Linked DNA regions of Mus musculus. The protein of the gene in region 3 purifies or fractionates together with the protein of the main gene of each other region. This does not show direct contact. Links are inferred from orthologs where the notes say so. Each region holds a gene or a part of one and is shown on either strand. Other genes may lie near its edges. The genes, in order: Ssx2ip, Cep135 and Wrap73.

What was found.
Region 1: the proteins of Wrap73 (region 3) and Ssx2ip purify together in Homo sapiens (co-immunoprecipitation; 4 studies listed by BioGRID and IntAct, counting the BioPlex papers as one, with this or other methods). This does not show direct contact. The link is inferred for Mus musculus from reciprocal best matches to the Homo sapiens genes WRAP73 and SSX2IP.
Region 2: the proteins of Wrap73 (region 3) and Cep135 purify together in Homo sapiens (co-immunoprecipitation; 6 studies listed by BioGRID and IntAct, counting the BioPlex papers as one, with this or other methods). This does not show direct contact. The link is inferred for Mus musculus from reciprocal best matches to the Homo sapiens genes WRAP73 and CEP135.

The regions. Positions count from the first base shown.
Region 1 is NC_000069.6:146,403,195-146,407,463, forward strand, and holds the start of Ssx2ip (afadin- and alpha-actinin-binding protein), read left to right. Parts: upstream 1-1,447; 5' UTR 1,448-1,741; intron 1,742-4,269. UniProt on the Homo sapiens protein: Belongs to an adhesion system, which plays a role in the organization of homotypic, interneuronal and heterotypic cell-cell adherens junctions (AJs).
Region 2 is NC_000071.6:76,637,175-76,640,818, reverse strand, and holds part of Cep135 (centrosomal protein of 135 kDa), read right to left. Parts: intron 2,756-3,644; coding exon 2,553-2,755; exon of another isoform or gene 2,310-2,552; intron 1,898-2,309; coding exon 1,793-1,897; intron 1,059-1,792; coding exon of another isoform or gene 1,010-1,058; exon of another isoform or gene 523-1,009; intron 1-522. UniProt on the Homo sapiens protein: Centrosomal microtubule-binding protein involved in centriole biogenesis. Acts as a scaffolding protein during early centriole biogenesis.
Region 3 is NC_000070.6:154,141,032-154,145,256, forward strand, and holds the start of Wrap73 (WD repeat-containing protein WRAP73), read left to right. Parts: upstream 1-1,340; 5' UTR 1,341-1,413; coding exon 1,414-1,482; intron 1,483-4,211; coding exon 4,212-4,225.

The DNA.
Region 1 (4,269 bases), on a different chromosome or scaffold from region 3:
ACATACTTTTGCCTCCCAGACTTGCGCTGTCTCTGATTATCATTAACCTTAACGGGGAGCATTCCCTGATGGAGGAACATAGAATATGTACATTATTATACAAACAAGCCTTATGCCCACAGCAGCCATTGAACATTCATGGAGGCCCGTGCCCTGCTCTCTCTGTTCCAGGGGTGGGACCATACCATGCTGTCCCTTGCACGGCCAAGCCGGACTCAGCATTTAAAGAATAAATGCCACGTTAAGATGTTTCTTGAGAGAGGAAAAGGAGTGTTTTGGAGAGTGGACAAGGGAACTTTCAGAACACCCCCTCGGATGCAGAGGGAGCAACCTCACCCCACTAATGGTCTAACTTCGAGAGTAAGACAGTCATTGGCAGTAATTTCTCACTGGCACTGTGCTCCAAAGCGCCTTTGTAATGATGTATCCTTGCTACCTGTATTTAGCATCCAATCTCCTTCAAATCCATTGTTCATTTCTGCACTCTGATCTTCTACCTAGCACTGTGGGCATGTGTAGTCCTTGTTCCTCTCTGTCTTGTTCTTCTGTGGCAGTGGTGTATTTCTTGTGTTCCTTTTACGATGTTTTGTTCTCACAGGAGCCACTTAACCCCAAACCTCTTTTTTTTTTTCCTCTTGAGTAAACAGCTTGCTAGAACCCCACCACCCTACCCTTTACTAAGGTTTCTCCATTTTCCTTTCCCAGGGGAACTTTAGGTGAAAATAGTAGGGAGAGGCAAGTGGATTTGGCCAATTGCCACTGTCCTACATTTTCTTGGCACTCATGGAGAGGGCCTAGGGAGTTTTTCATCAAGGTCTAGTTCACAAGTACCTTTTCTTAGTTTCCCTTTCCAGCTGTCTCCTCCCTAGGTCCCTTCCTTTGCCTTAGTTTGTTTTATTCACTACTTGAGCTTCTCTCATAACGCCCAGGCTAGCCTCAAGCTGCCAATGACCTTGTACTTCAATTCTGCCGGATCACAGACCCTCACATGCGTTCTGTGCAGTCCTGAGGAATGAACTCGGGGTTTCACGCGCACTACCCTGGCCCTGGTTTTACACGGATTTCTGTGCATTGGCGCATTGATTCCAGAGGCCACTACCTTCCTTCTCCAGGGCCTGACCTAATTCTGGAATGCCCCGGTGTCTCTCCGTTCTGGGGAGCGCACCTGGTTCTCCAGAGAGCATTGGGGTTCAGGGGTGGCCTCAGAGGCCCGGCTCTAAAGCGGCTAGGACCCTCCTCTTGTCCCCGTGGAGAGCTGGGGGCGGGGAGCAGCGGCCGGGTGACCCCGGGTGTAACAGGTGCGGTAGCCGCAGCTGCGCGGGGGAGAGCGGCTTGGCGTCTGCTGGGGGTTGTCGGAGGCTAGTCCTCGCTGGACCAATGCGGGCCGCGGTTGTTCGTCGCCTGGCAACCGGCGGAGCCAATGGGCGGCGCCAGCGCGGGGCGGGGTGGGATGGGCGCCCGCCGAGGAAAGCGGCGAGAGGCGGGCCGGGCGGACCGGGCGGGCTGGAGGCTGCGCGGAGCCGCTGCGTGCCGCCGCGGGTGCGGGCCCGCGGGCTGCGGGAGGCGTGAGCCGCTCCCGGAGCCGTGACGGTGAGCGGCGGGATTGTGACGCGCAGGCGGGGAGGAGGGCACCGGGCTGGACGTGGACGCAGGCACCGGGGCCGACTCTGGGCGGGCTCGTCGCGGCCGTTGCAGCGGTTGGAGAGCGTTGCTGCCCGCCGCCTGCAGCGGAAAGTGCGAGGTAGGTGCTGGGGGGGCCCCGCGCCCTTTCGGGATGCGGCGCGGGCGCGCGCGGGGTCCCTTTGGCCCGACCGCGCGGGCTTGGCGAGTCCTCCGAGGCTGCCGCAGGACTTAGCGAGTGAGGTCTGCCGCTGCTGCAGGGGTAGGTGGCTCATAGTGGTCCAGCCCCACGTTTAGGGGAAGAACTTACATCATCGCAGGGGCAGGCTTGTTTGAGAAATTATTTGGCCCCGGATTTTCCAGTGGTGTAGAGTGCGTAAATGGTGAGCTCTGTCCGGGTCAGCACATATTTCTCCTGGTGCAGATTGCTGGGTTATGCAAGTCACCTGGGCCCAGGAAATAAAACTTGCCCAATAATTCCCCATCAGCACCAGTAGAGGAATCTTTACATTAATACCCACAGTTCAGGCTCCTTAGTCCTGCGTGTCAGATTCATAACCAGCCACGCCGATGCAGTTGTGAGAGCCGGGAGTTTCTTCTAGAATCCAGGCTGGATGAAAGGTGGAGCCCAAGGATGAGAGCCTTCTGGATTTGATATTTGCTTCAATTCAGTTTAGAGTCCAGGCCTGGAGTTAGCTGAAAATAGTGCTACCATGGAGCCCGCAAGGTTCCGGAGGAAAACCTTTCTAGTCCCAAATTTGATCTTGAACGGAAAGGTCTGTATATGACGTGACACATTTACGAGGCTGGATAAAATTCAAAACCGTCGATCCAGCTAGCAAAACTTAAGCCATCCAATCTCCTTACTCCCCAAGAGCCTGTGGGCCCACGAAGCTTAGAGTGTTCATTCAAACTAAACAAGAAAAGCTGTGCTCCCAGTCGACACTTTGTCCTGCCCGGTGTGCACAGAAGTTCCTCGTACAAAGTGGCTCTCTGAGAGGATTAGGAATGGATAGAATTCAAACCGGGGCGTTTTCTTTGGTAACTGTTGGGGCCCCTACAGCCTGTCATTTTACACCCTTCCTTTCCTTCTTGTTCTCCATCTGTACAGGGAAGATAATAGGTCCAGGGATTAAGTAACAGGGCCACAGCAGCTTGGAGATAACTGCTGGGGCCGGGCCACTCCAGGATGAAATGTGAAACTCGATCCATGACACACTTGAGCCTTGTGACAAGACTTGTTAAGTCCACAGCATCCTAGGCTTGCTCAGGCAGGTGTACGCACCATGGAAAAGTTAACTGTTCATGTTAGCCCAGAAGGCCTCCAACCCAGCCCAGTCAAATTATGTACTTGGGCTCTCTTAAAATGGGAAAACTGGACAAACCAGCTTGTCGGCCCAAACCGGTTAGGATACAGATTTTGTGAAAGTGCCCTCACTTAGCATTCAGCTAGAGAGAGGGGGGGGAGAGAGCGCCTAGAAAACACTTTTCCACAGGGACTTGAATCATGTTTACATTGGAGCAGTAAGCCCCCCCCCCTCCCACACACACACACTGCTCCTGTCTTTATCCCAGCTCCCTGGGAGGCTAAGGTAGGGGATACGCGTGAGTTTAGGAGTCCCAGACAAAGTAGAACAACATACAGATCTTCATAAAAAACAAACACCTTTCATTCTGAACGACCTCACACGTTCCTTGGGGAACCAGACCAAGCCGGGCCATGCACATGCAAGGCTAGGGTTCTGTTGCTGAGCAGTGAAACCCGGTGCGCCTTGATTCTGAGGCAAGGCTGCCTTGTTACTAGCTTGCCCAAGCAGTCCTTGAACTTGCAGTTCTCCTGCTTCAGCCTCCCAGAAGCTGGGCTTATAGGTTTCTAGGCTCAGTTTCAAAAGTGATTTTTAGTGTTAGCTTCCTGTATCTTTTACAGTAGCTGTGGACTCACCTTGTTGGCTTAGCCATTAGTTCATAACGAGGCTGTGTGAGTCTGTTGTGTGTCTTGGGCAATTATGGTTAGGTGGTTGTGAGCGTACATCTTACCTTAAAGCCATGAGCCTATAGAATGAGACAGTAGAGAAACACACCATCCATTATTAGTAATGGAAAAACCTAGATTGATACCATGTGATGCTGGTCCAATATTTTGTGTAGGAACAGATTTGTTGTTTGTTAATAAATCTATTCTTTCAGTAAGCATTTATTGTCAGACACTCAGCTGCTACTTGCCAGGCCCAAGGACAAAAAGATGTGTTGCTCTGAACATTTTGTACTTTAGGAGGTTTTGTGTGGAGAAGGGGAGAAATGCAAATGTGGGCGGGCTTTAGGAAAGAAGGCCTTTCAGTTGTGTCCTGACAGGCGCTCGCCAAGCAACTGTGCGTTGGGCACAGCAGAGCAGGTGCAGGTTACAGGTGGTTGGTGTCGTCCATGTGCAGCCGGAGCTGCATTAGCGACAAGCGTTAAGAACAGCGCTGTGAACCTTGACCAGAGGGCAATAAGGAATATCTAAAGGGTTTGTTGGGGATTATATTGCTTCTGATGTAGTATGTCTGCCTAGGTAATAATTTGCATAGTCCATGGCCTCTGGACCTTGATGGTCTAGATAATACCTGAAAGCTTTTCACCAGGCACGTAATTGAAGCTGACAGGAGCCTT
Region 2 (3,644 bases), on a different chromosome or scaffold from region 3:
TAGTCCACTACAGAACACCTGCTAGTGCAATCTATGTTTCTACCACCTTTATTTTATTTTAGTTGGCTTCATCTTTGAAATGGGGCCTTACTGTGTTACCCAGGCTACCCTGGATTTAGGGGCTCAAGGGATTCTCTTGCCTTGGTCTTCCCAAGCAGCTGGAACTACAAGGGGGTAGGATGCCTGGCCTAGCCTTATATACTTTAGCCAAATCTGCAGGATTAAAAAAAAAAGGTTGATTCACTATATTTCCTGTGTATGAGTGCTTTGCCTGCAGGCAGATGTCTGCACAACACATGTGCCTGGTGACTGTAAAAGGCAGAGGAGAGTTAGTTATGGACGGCCGTGAACCACTGTGGAGGTACCAGGTCCTGGGGAAATGCAGCCAGTGCTCTTAACCAATGGGCCATCTCTCCAGCCCTAATTTGTAGTTGTTTTCATGAATATGTAAAATATTTCAATTAAAAGAATATATATTAGAAGAAATTATTCAAAGCAATTATGCTATAGCTATATCAGAACATTAGGGCATTAACAAATAACATTTAAAAACATAACAATCACAATGATATTTTAATGATAGTTTTAAAAAGTTAGGATACCAAGTATACATTCAGAAATATACAAATCCCCATTAAGCCAGCAGGGTGGCATGTGCCTGTAATGCCATGGCTGGCGTGTGCCTGTAATGCCAGTACTTGGGGGGTGGGGGGCAAGGCCTGAGGAGAGAGAGCTTGTCTCAAAAAATCAAACCAAAGCAAACAAAAACCAAAACCAATACACAACTAGATGTTAAACTCAAAATATGAATAGTGATGCTGGGGGCACTCACTTTCTTCTTTAAGCTTTAACCGCGTATATAACGTGCGGCTTCCTGGCCGTTTCTACATCTTGTTCGGTGTTTGGTGCAGTTGAGCACGTCTGCTTCCTGCCTTGTCCTTTCCTGGTTCCGCTTCTACCTCCACAGCCATCTCCTATTCGTCACTGGACCCTCAGCTTCTGCCCAGCCTCACATCTGTGCTGTTCTCTGGGCTTGCTCTATCAGGTCCTTCCTGATTCTAGGCAAAGAGAAGTTCAACTTCTAGTCTCCTCTACCCCAGCAGTCACACACTTCTTCTAGAGACAGGCTTTTGCTATGAAGGGCAGGCTGTTCTCAAGCTCACCAGCTTTCTGTCTCACCCTACTGAGTTTGAAGACTACAGGGGAGCACCATCATGACTGCACACACTGTGTGTGTGTGTGTGTGTGTGTGTGTGTGTGTGTGTGAACTCAAAGACAGTTTTTTACACACCCACGTCTGAAGCAATCCTCAGTCACTTATACCTCACTAATGTCGCTGTCACTGTTGTCCAGGTCCTGAGAACAGTGCTCCCACACTGCACACTTCCCTCCTCTGCCCTTCTCTCTCACCTTTCTCTGCATATGCACTTAGCCTTCTCTGTGCCTCTAATCTCCCAAACTTCAAAGACAAAGGAGCCCACTCTCTCCATCACACTCCCAGTGTCACACTGTGCCTCCCAGTGCCAGGAGTGTCAGTGCTGGTTGTCCCCTCAGAGGCCCCCAGGCTGCCCTTTCCTTCAGTTACTCAGTATTCAGCTTCTCTTCGCAGTACAGATGCTCCAACCTTTTTTTTCAATGTTATGGAGTCCCTTGCTCTAGCAGGAAGTGCCTAAGAAATGTAGCTTACAGATTAATACTAAAGCAGTTTGCTGTTTGCAAGCCGTATGAAGTACTCTTTGAGTAGCATAGAAGATATGCAGAAATGCTGTGTATTGCTACAGAACTGTCTTACCGTTCGTACTTCTCGTTTGACATCTGCCTCTTCAGATTATCATAATCTGTCTGCAACTGTGTCACTTTAGTTCGAAGCATGGAGGTTTCTCGGCTTTGGGTAGTCCTTAAAAACAAATGTATAGATCTTAGAAATAGAAAAACGAATGACCTCTTTTGTAGAATCAAGTGCAGATACAAATGGGTTGATTCCTAAGAACAGACAAGGATCACAGCTTTTCAACAGGGGCTCTCTCCAAACCAGAGCTTCTGCACAGTCATGAGCTAGCAACACAGGATGCAACACAGGTTCCTTGGTTCTTCCTTGCCTCTTGCCTCAACTTCCCTAGCCCTGTACAAAGCCCATTTTTCTGCATGCTCGCAAGTCCAGGCTCTTCTCTTCTGGGATGATGTCATCACCAGTCCCCTTGATGGTGATGAACAACGCACTTGAGAACCAAATCTCCCCCGCTCCAAGCCTTTCCTGTCTACAGCCACCTCATCTGGACACGCCTCCCCTCAGCAAAGCCTTTACTCACTCCTCAGACTCAGGTCCTCCCCTGAAGCTCACTCTTCCCGGCTCGATCCCACGCCCTGCCTTGGGGATGAAGATGTGTACGTCTACGGCTTCAAACCCCATGTCTCCTGAGTGACTCCTCTGGATGTCCAGACGCAGCAGTTAGGAGAGTCAGGGACCGTGGGTTTCCAATGCCCTCGCTACCTGGAAAGTTGAAACTACTTTGTCAAAGACACTTCCCCACACACTGCTCAGCGACACTCACAGTTTGCTTTCTGAGAGATTTAGCTTCTCCTTCAGCAGCTGGATTTCTGTGTCCTTCTCGTGGGAGGTTAAATGGGACTGGAACTCTTTATCTCTGTTTGTAGCTAACAACGACTCAAGGTTTTTAATTGTCTGTCTCTCATTCGTCAGCTGTTTTTTTAATAGTTCTGATTCTGATTTTACATTCTCTAATTCTGCTACCGCCTACAGAAAAAACAAAGATTAATTCAGCAAAAGTTTAGGCTTAGTCTGAAAAATTCTTTATCTTACAATATAACAGCGATTGTTGAAGACTTTAAAACATTTTTTTTTAGTTGTAAGAAAATCATTGTGATTTAAAGTCCCCTTGGCTTTAAGGCGTACTCTGCCTCTCCGATGATGACCAGCCATCTCCCTCATCATGAGAGGGTAAGGATATGATAAGCCTCCCGCCCCATCAGCCATGAGTCCATGCTCTCTGCAGCATGCCAGTTCTCTGGCCACAGTCAAGCAAGTGCTATAACTTCTCAATGCACGACTTGACAAGAGAAACCAAAGCCATGCTCACACGAGAGCACACACCAGGCCAGTCAAAGTCTCAGCTTGGGGATGGGCAAGTTCAGTAAAGAAGGCTTAATTAATAATGTAAATGCCGTGAGATTTCATTATTAAAAAATTCAAGTTAGAAAACTGTTTAATCTTTAAACCAAAATTTAATTTTAAATAAAAAAAGAATGTAGTTGGGCAGTGGTGGCGCATGCCTTTGATCCCAGCACTCGGGAGGCAGAGGCAGGAGGATTTCTGAGTTCGAGGCCAGCCTGGTCTACAAAGTGAGTTCCAGGACAGCTAGGGACACACAGAGAAACCCTGTCTTGAAAAACAAAAACAAAAACAAAAACAAAAAGACTGTATATTCCTGATCTACACCTAGAAAATGCCTAACTTCTTAAGTACCATCTATTCCGAACCCAATTTTATCTGCTTTTTCTTTTCTTGCAGTGCTGAGACCAAATCCAGTGTGTCTCACAGGAAGGCAAGGACTCCCGGCTCAGCTACCCCCATCTCATTCTCATGCTCCCTAGAGTTTGACCTCAGCAGCCAGGCGGTCAAACCC
Region 3 (4,225 bases):
GGTTGGAGCAGACCGAATCTCTCTCGAACTCGAAAGCCTGACCTGGTGTTAGGCCAATAGCTACGAGGAGTAATTATTTGCGAGCTGCAGATTAGAGACAAAGATGAATACCAAGCAAGAGTTTGGGACTGGTTGGGAACAGAAAATGCCAGGACGCTGGCCGCGCACTCTGCAGATCCTCTCCGAATGGTGCAAGCACCGCCATTCATTCATTCATTCATTCATTCATTCATTCATTCGTGGAAATTAGATGCAGCGGTGCGGAAGAGACTGGGAGCTATGAGCTGGACCGAGCAATACTAGATTCCGGTCTTTCAGAATTCGGAACTTAGCTCCAAAGGCAGTGGCTGAGCCTTAAGTGATCCTCTGAAGCTTTGGGTGCAGACAGGAACATCCAACCTCCCGAATGACACCGGAATGGGGAGCCTTGTGGGGCACAGGACGCGGGGTGCTGCGCGAGGGAGGGAGCAGAGCGCTTTGGGGAGCGATCCTGGTCTGAAGTCCAGTTGGTGCTGTATTCTACGTGCCCACCGAGGCTGCCGTCCCGGGTACCGAGCCACACCTCTGAATCAAGTCCACACTCTAACTAGAACCTCCAAAAAGGTGAGGCGACCCACGAGATCCACATGCCTTCGAATTCGTTCCGCCACAGACCTGAGAAGCACTTGAACGTCACGAGGTCACGCTGCAGGTGGTCGCTCTCAGGAAAACCTCAAAGCAAACCTATATTTATACTTATACGTGGAAAATACTTTGCTTTGTTCTGTTTGAGAAAGGGTCTCACGCAGCCCTGCATAGCCTCCAACTCTATAGGTAGCGAAGGATGCCCTGAACATCTGCGTCTCTGGTTTCAGGTGTAGGATTTTTTTTTTTTTTTTAATGCAAACCATCGTGCGGGGTTTATGCGATGCTGCGGACCAAAACCTGGGTTTCATATATGCTAAGCAATCATTTTGCCAATAGAACCGCACTCTCAGCTCCTGTAACAAAAAATTTGTTATCTACTAAAGAGGTGTATCGAAATACGACTATATACTTACACATAAATACGCATTTACATGTAAATAAATGTATGTTCACAAGTACAGAGGTCTAGTTACAACCTGAATTTCAGATAAGGGAGTCTTTTAGTCTAAGTATGCCCCGGGTAACTTTTGGGAACATATTTATTTTGTGATTTATCTGAAGTCAGAATTCAGCCTTCCGTTTCGGGATTTGCAGGGAGATCCGCTATAGCGCAAAGGCGCTCAGCCCCTTTAAGACTCAAACTCGGACTTCCCGCCCCACAATGCCGCGCGGCCGCTTGAGGCTCCCATTGGCTGCTGCTCGCTTCCGCCCCTGTACTTCCGGCCGCTGCCTGGGGCGGTTGCGGGAGGTACTTCGGAGCCGGGCTGGCCCGGGCTGGCCGTGGCCATGAACTTCTCGGAGTCATTCAAGCTCTCGGGCCTGCTCTGCAGGTTCTCCCCGGACGGCAAGTACCTGGTGAGCTGCGGCGCGCTGGGCGGAACCTAAGTGTGGGCGCGCGACTTGTGCACGGGGCCGGGGCGGGCCGAAGGGGGGCGGGAAGGGGGCCCGAGCCGGGCGGCCGCGGGGACTCAGGCTGGACTTAGGGGGCGGGGTGGGAGGTGGGAGAGGGAGGCAGGCAGAGGGGTTTCAGCCCAGATGAGGGAGAACCAGATGATTAGAGAGAACGAACCTGAAGCCGAAGAGGGATCCAGGCCAGCCAGGCTGGGGGATCCTGGCAGGTGACCAGGGTGGAGAAAGAGGACGTGGAGCAGAGTGGGGATGGAGTTGGGGTTGCTATTCTGGCAGGTGGTCAGGGTTAGGAAGGAGGTCTTGGAGCAGGTGGCCAGGGCTGGGTGGGTGCCAGGCTCCCGGCTCCAGTTTCCCTTCATCAAAGTTGGATAAGATGACTCTGCTTTCACACATTTGAGGGCACAGGGGATGGCAGCTCATTGCTATTTTGTATGTTTTCTGTGAGCGAGCTGGTTAAACGGGGCCCTCCTTTGTGAAACTCGTCATAAGCAAATGGTTTAAATAACTAGCTTTCATTGCCAGGGTTGGATGTTAGCTGTCTATTCTTTGGGTGGCAGAATAGTGTTCAGATGGGTGTTTCAAGGTACGCCAACATGACCATTGTGCATTTGTAGAAGGCTGACGTTAGGAAGCCATCAGGGAAAACTCAAGTCTTATTTTAAAAAACTGTGGTTCCGTGCCAGTCGGGTAGCTTGGCTAGTAACGGTACCTGCCACCAAACCTGATGACCTGAGTCCCAGCTCTAGGACCCACTTAATGGAAGGAGAGAACTGTCTCCTGCATGTTGTCCTCTGGCCTCCACATAAGCCGTAACTAGTGCCTGACCCTTCTCACATACAAATGCAATCCTAATTTTTAACAAGTTTTCTTTGATTAATCTATCATTCTCTTTTTAACTGACTGATACCATTGATTGATTGATTGACTGATTGACAGGGTTTCTCTGTAGCTCTGACCAGGTTGGCCTTGAACTCAAAGATCTGCCCCTTGTCTCCTGAGTGCTGGGATTAACGGAGCATGCCACCATGCCTGGCTGTCTTGATTCTCAGTTCACACCCCTGCTGTGTTTGTCCAGGCTTTTGAGACATCCTTTACCCTCCTTATACACATCATCCTAACAATGTAGGAAGTGTCAGGGTAGGACCTGCTTAGCAGGGAAAGGTACTGCCATGCAAGCCCGAGGACTTGAGCTCCGGCTCGGGAACCCACGTAAAGGTGGGAGGAGACCATCAGCCTCGCACACATTGATACATTTTACCTTTTTCCAAGTGCCTCCAGAGACTAAGGTTGCTTTACGGTTCTGAAAGTCTCAGTGAACAGCAAAGAAGTTGCATTTGGGTTAGCTGATATTTGTGCTTGCCGCTCATCAAAATATCGTGGAGCTCTTAATAATTGTTTCTTTCAAGTTTTGTCCTAAATCCTGAGCAGAGCGAGTCCATGTTTCCAGTGTTGGTGTCTTAAGTGATTCCTAAGGAATCCATTGTAACAGGTTACTGCTCACCAAACTCTAATGTGAGAACACAAGCCCTTTGATAGGTCCTCCTTCTGATCTGCACTTGCCCTCTTGCTCTCTTTCCACAGAAGACAAATGTGGCTTCATTAAAAAAAAAAGAGTCTGTGTGTGTGTGTGTGTGTGTGTGAGTGAGAGAGAGAGAGAGACAGAGACAGAGACAGAGAGACAGAGATAGAAACAGAGAGATGCTACAACACACGTGTAGAGGGCAGAGGACAACCCCCAGTGTTATTCCTTACCTTCCACCTTGTTTGAGACAAGGTCTCTTGCTCTTCACTGCATAAAGCAGGCTAGCTGGCCCACATGTACCTGCCTCAGCCTCCCCTCTGCCTCCCCTCTGCCTCCTCATAGAAACTAGGATTTTAAACAGTTTTTAGGATTAACACAGTTTTATGTGGCTTCTGTGCATCCAAACCTGTTTCTGAGGCAAGTGCAAGTTTTTGGCTTTTAGACAATGGCATAATATGCAAAGCTGGCCTCAGACTCAGAAAGTAGTTGAGCACCTCCCTAGTACAGTGATTACAAGTGTGCACCATCACTCCCAAGTAGTAAAAAAATACACACACACACACACACACACACACACACACAGGCTTTTTGAGACAGTTTCTCTGTGTAGCCCCAGCTGTCCTGGAACTCACTCAGTAGAGGGAGGCTGGCCTCAAACTCAGGGATCTGCCCACCTCTGACTTCTGAGTGCTGGGATTAAAGGAGTGCACCACCCCCATCTTTAAATTTACTTGTACAGATGGCTCAGCGGGTAAGAGCACTGACTGCTCACCCAAAGGTCCTGAGTTCAAATCCCCGCAACCACTTGGTGGCTCACAACCACCCGTAATGAGATCTGATGCCCTCTTCTGGTGCATCTGAAGACAGCTACAGTGTACTTACTATATAATAATAAATAAATCTTTAAAAAAATTTACTTGTACAAATTTGTGGGTTAGAGTATGATAATTTGGTTAATATATACTGTGTGGAACTTTTAAACTTTTGAATGCTCCACCTTTTATCTTTTTCTAACTCATTTTGCAATGAGACCCATAAGTTTTGGTCCACATGAAGCTAAGTGTGTCGAACAGGAGGGGAGGAGCTGGCCATTGAGGCAAGGCTCCCTGCTGTAGAAGAGATGCTATCCCGTGCTGTCTGCCTCACTTTTTAGGCTTCCTGTGTCCA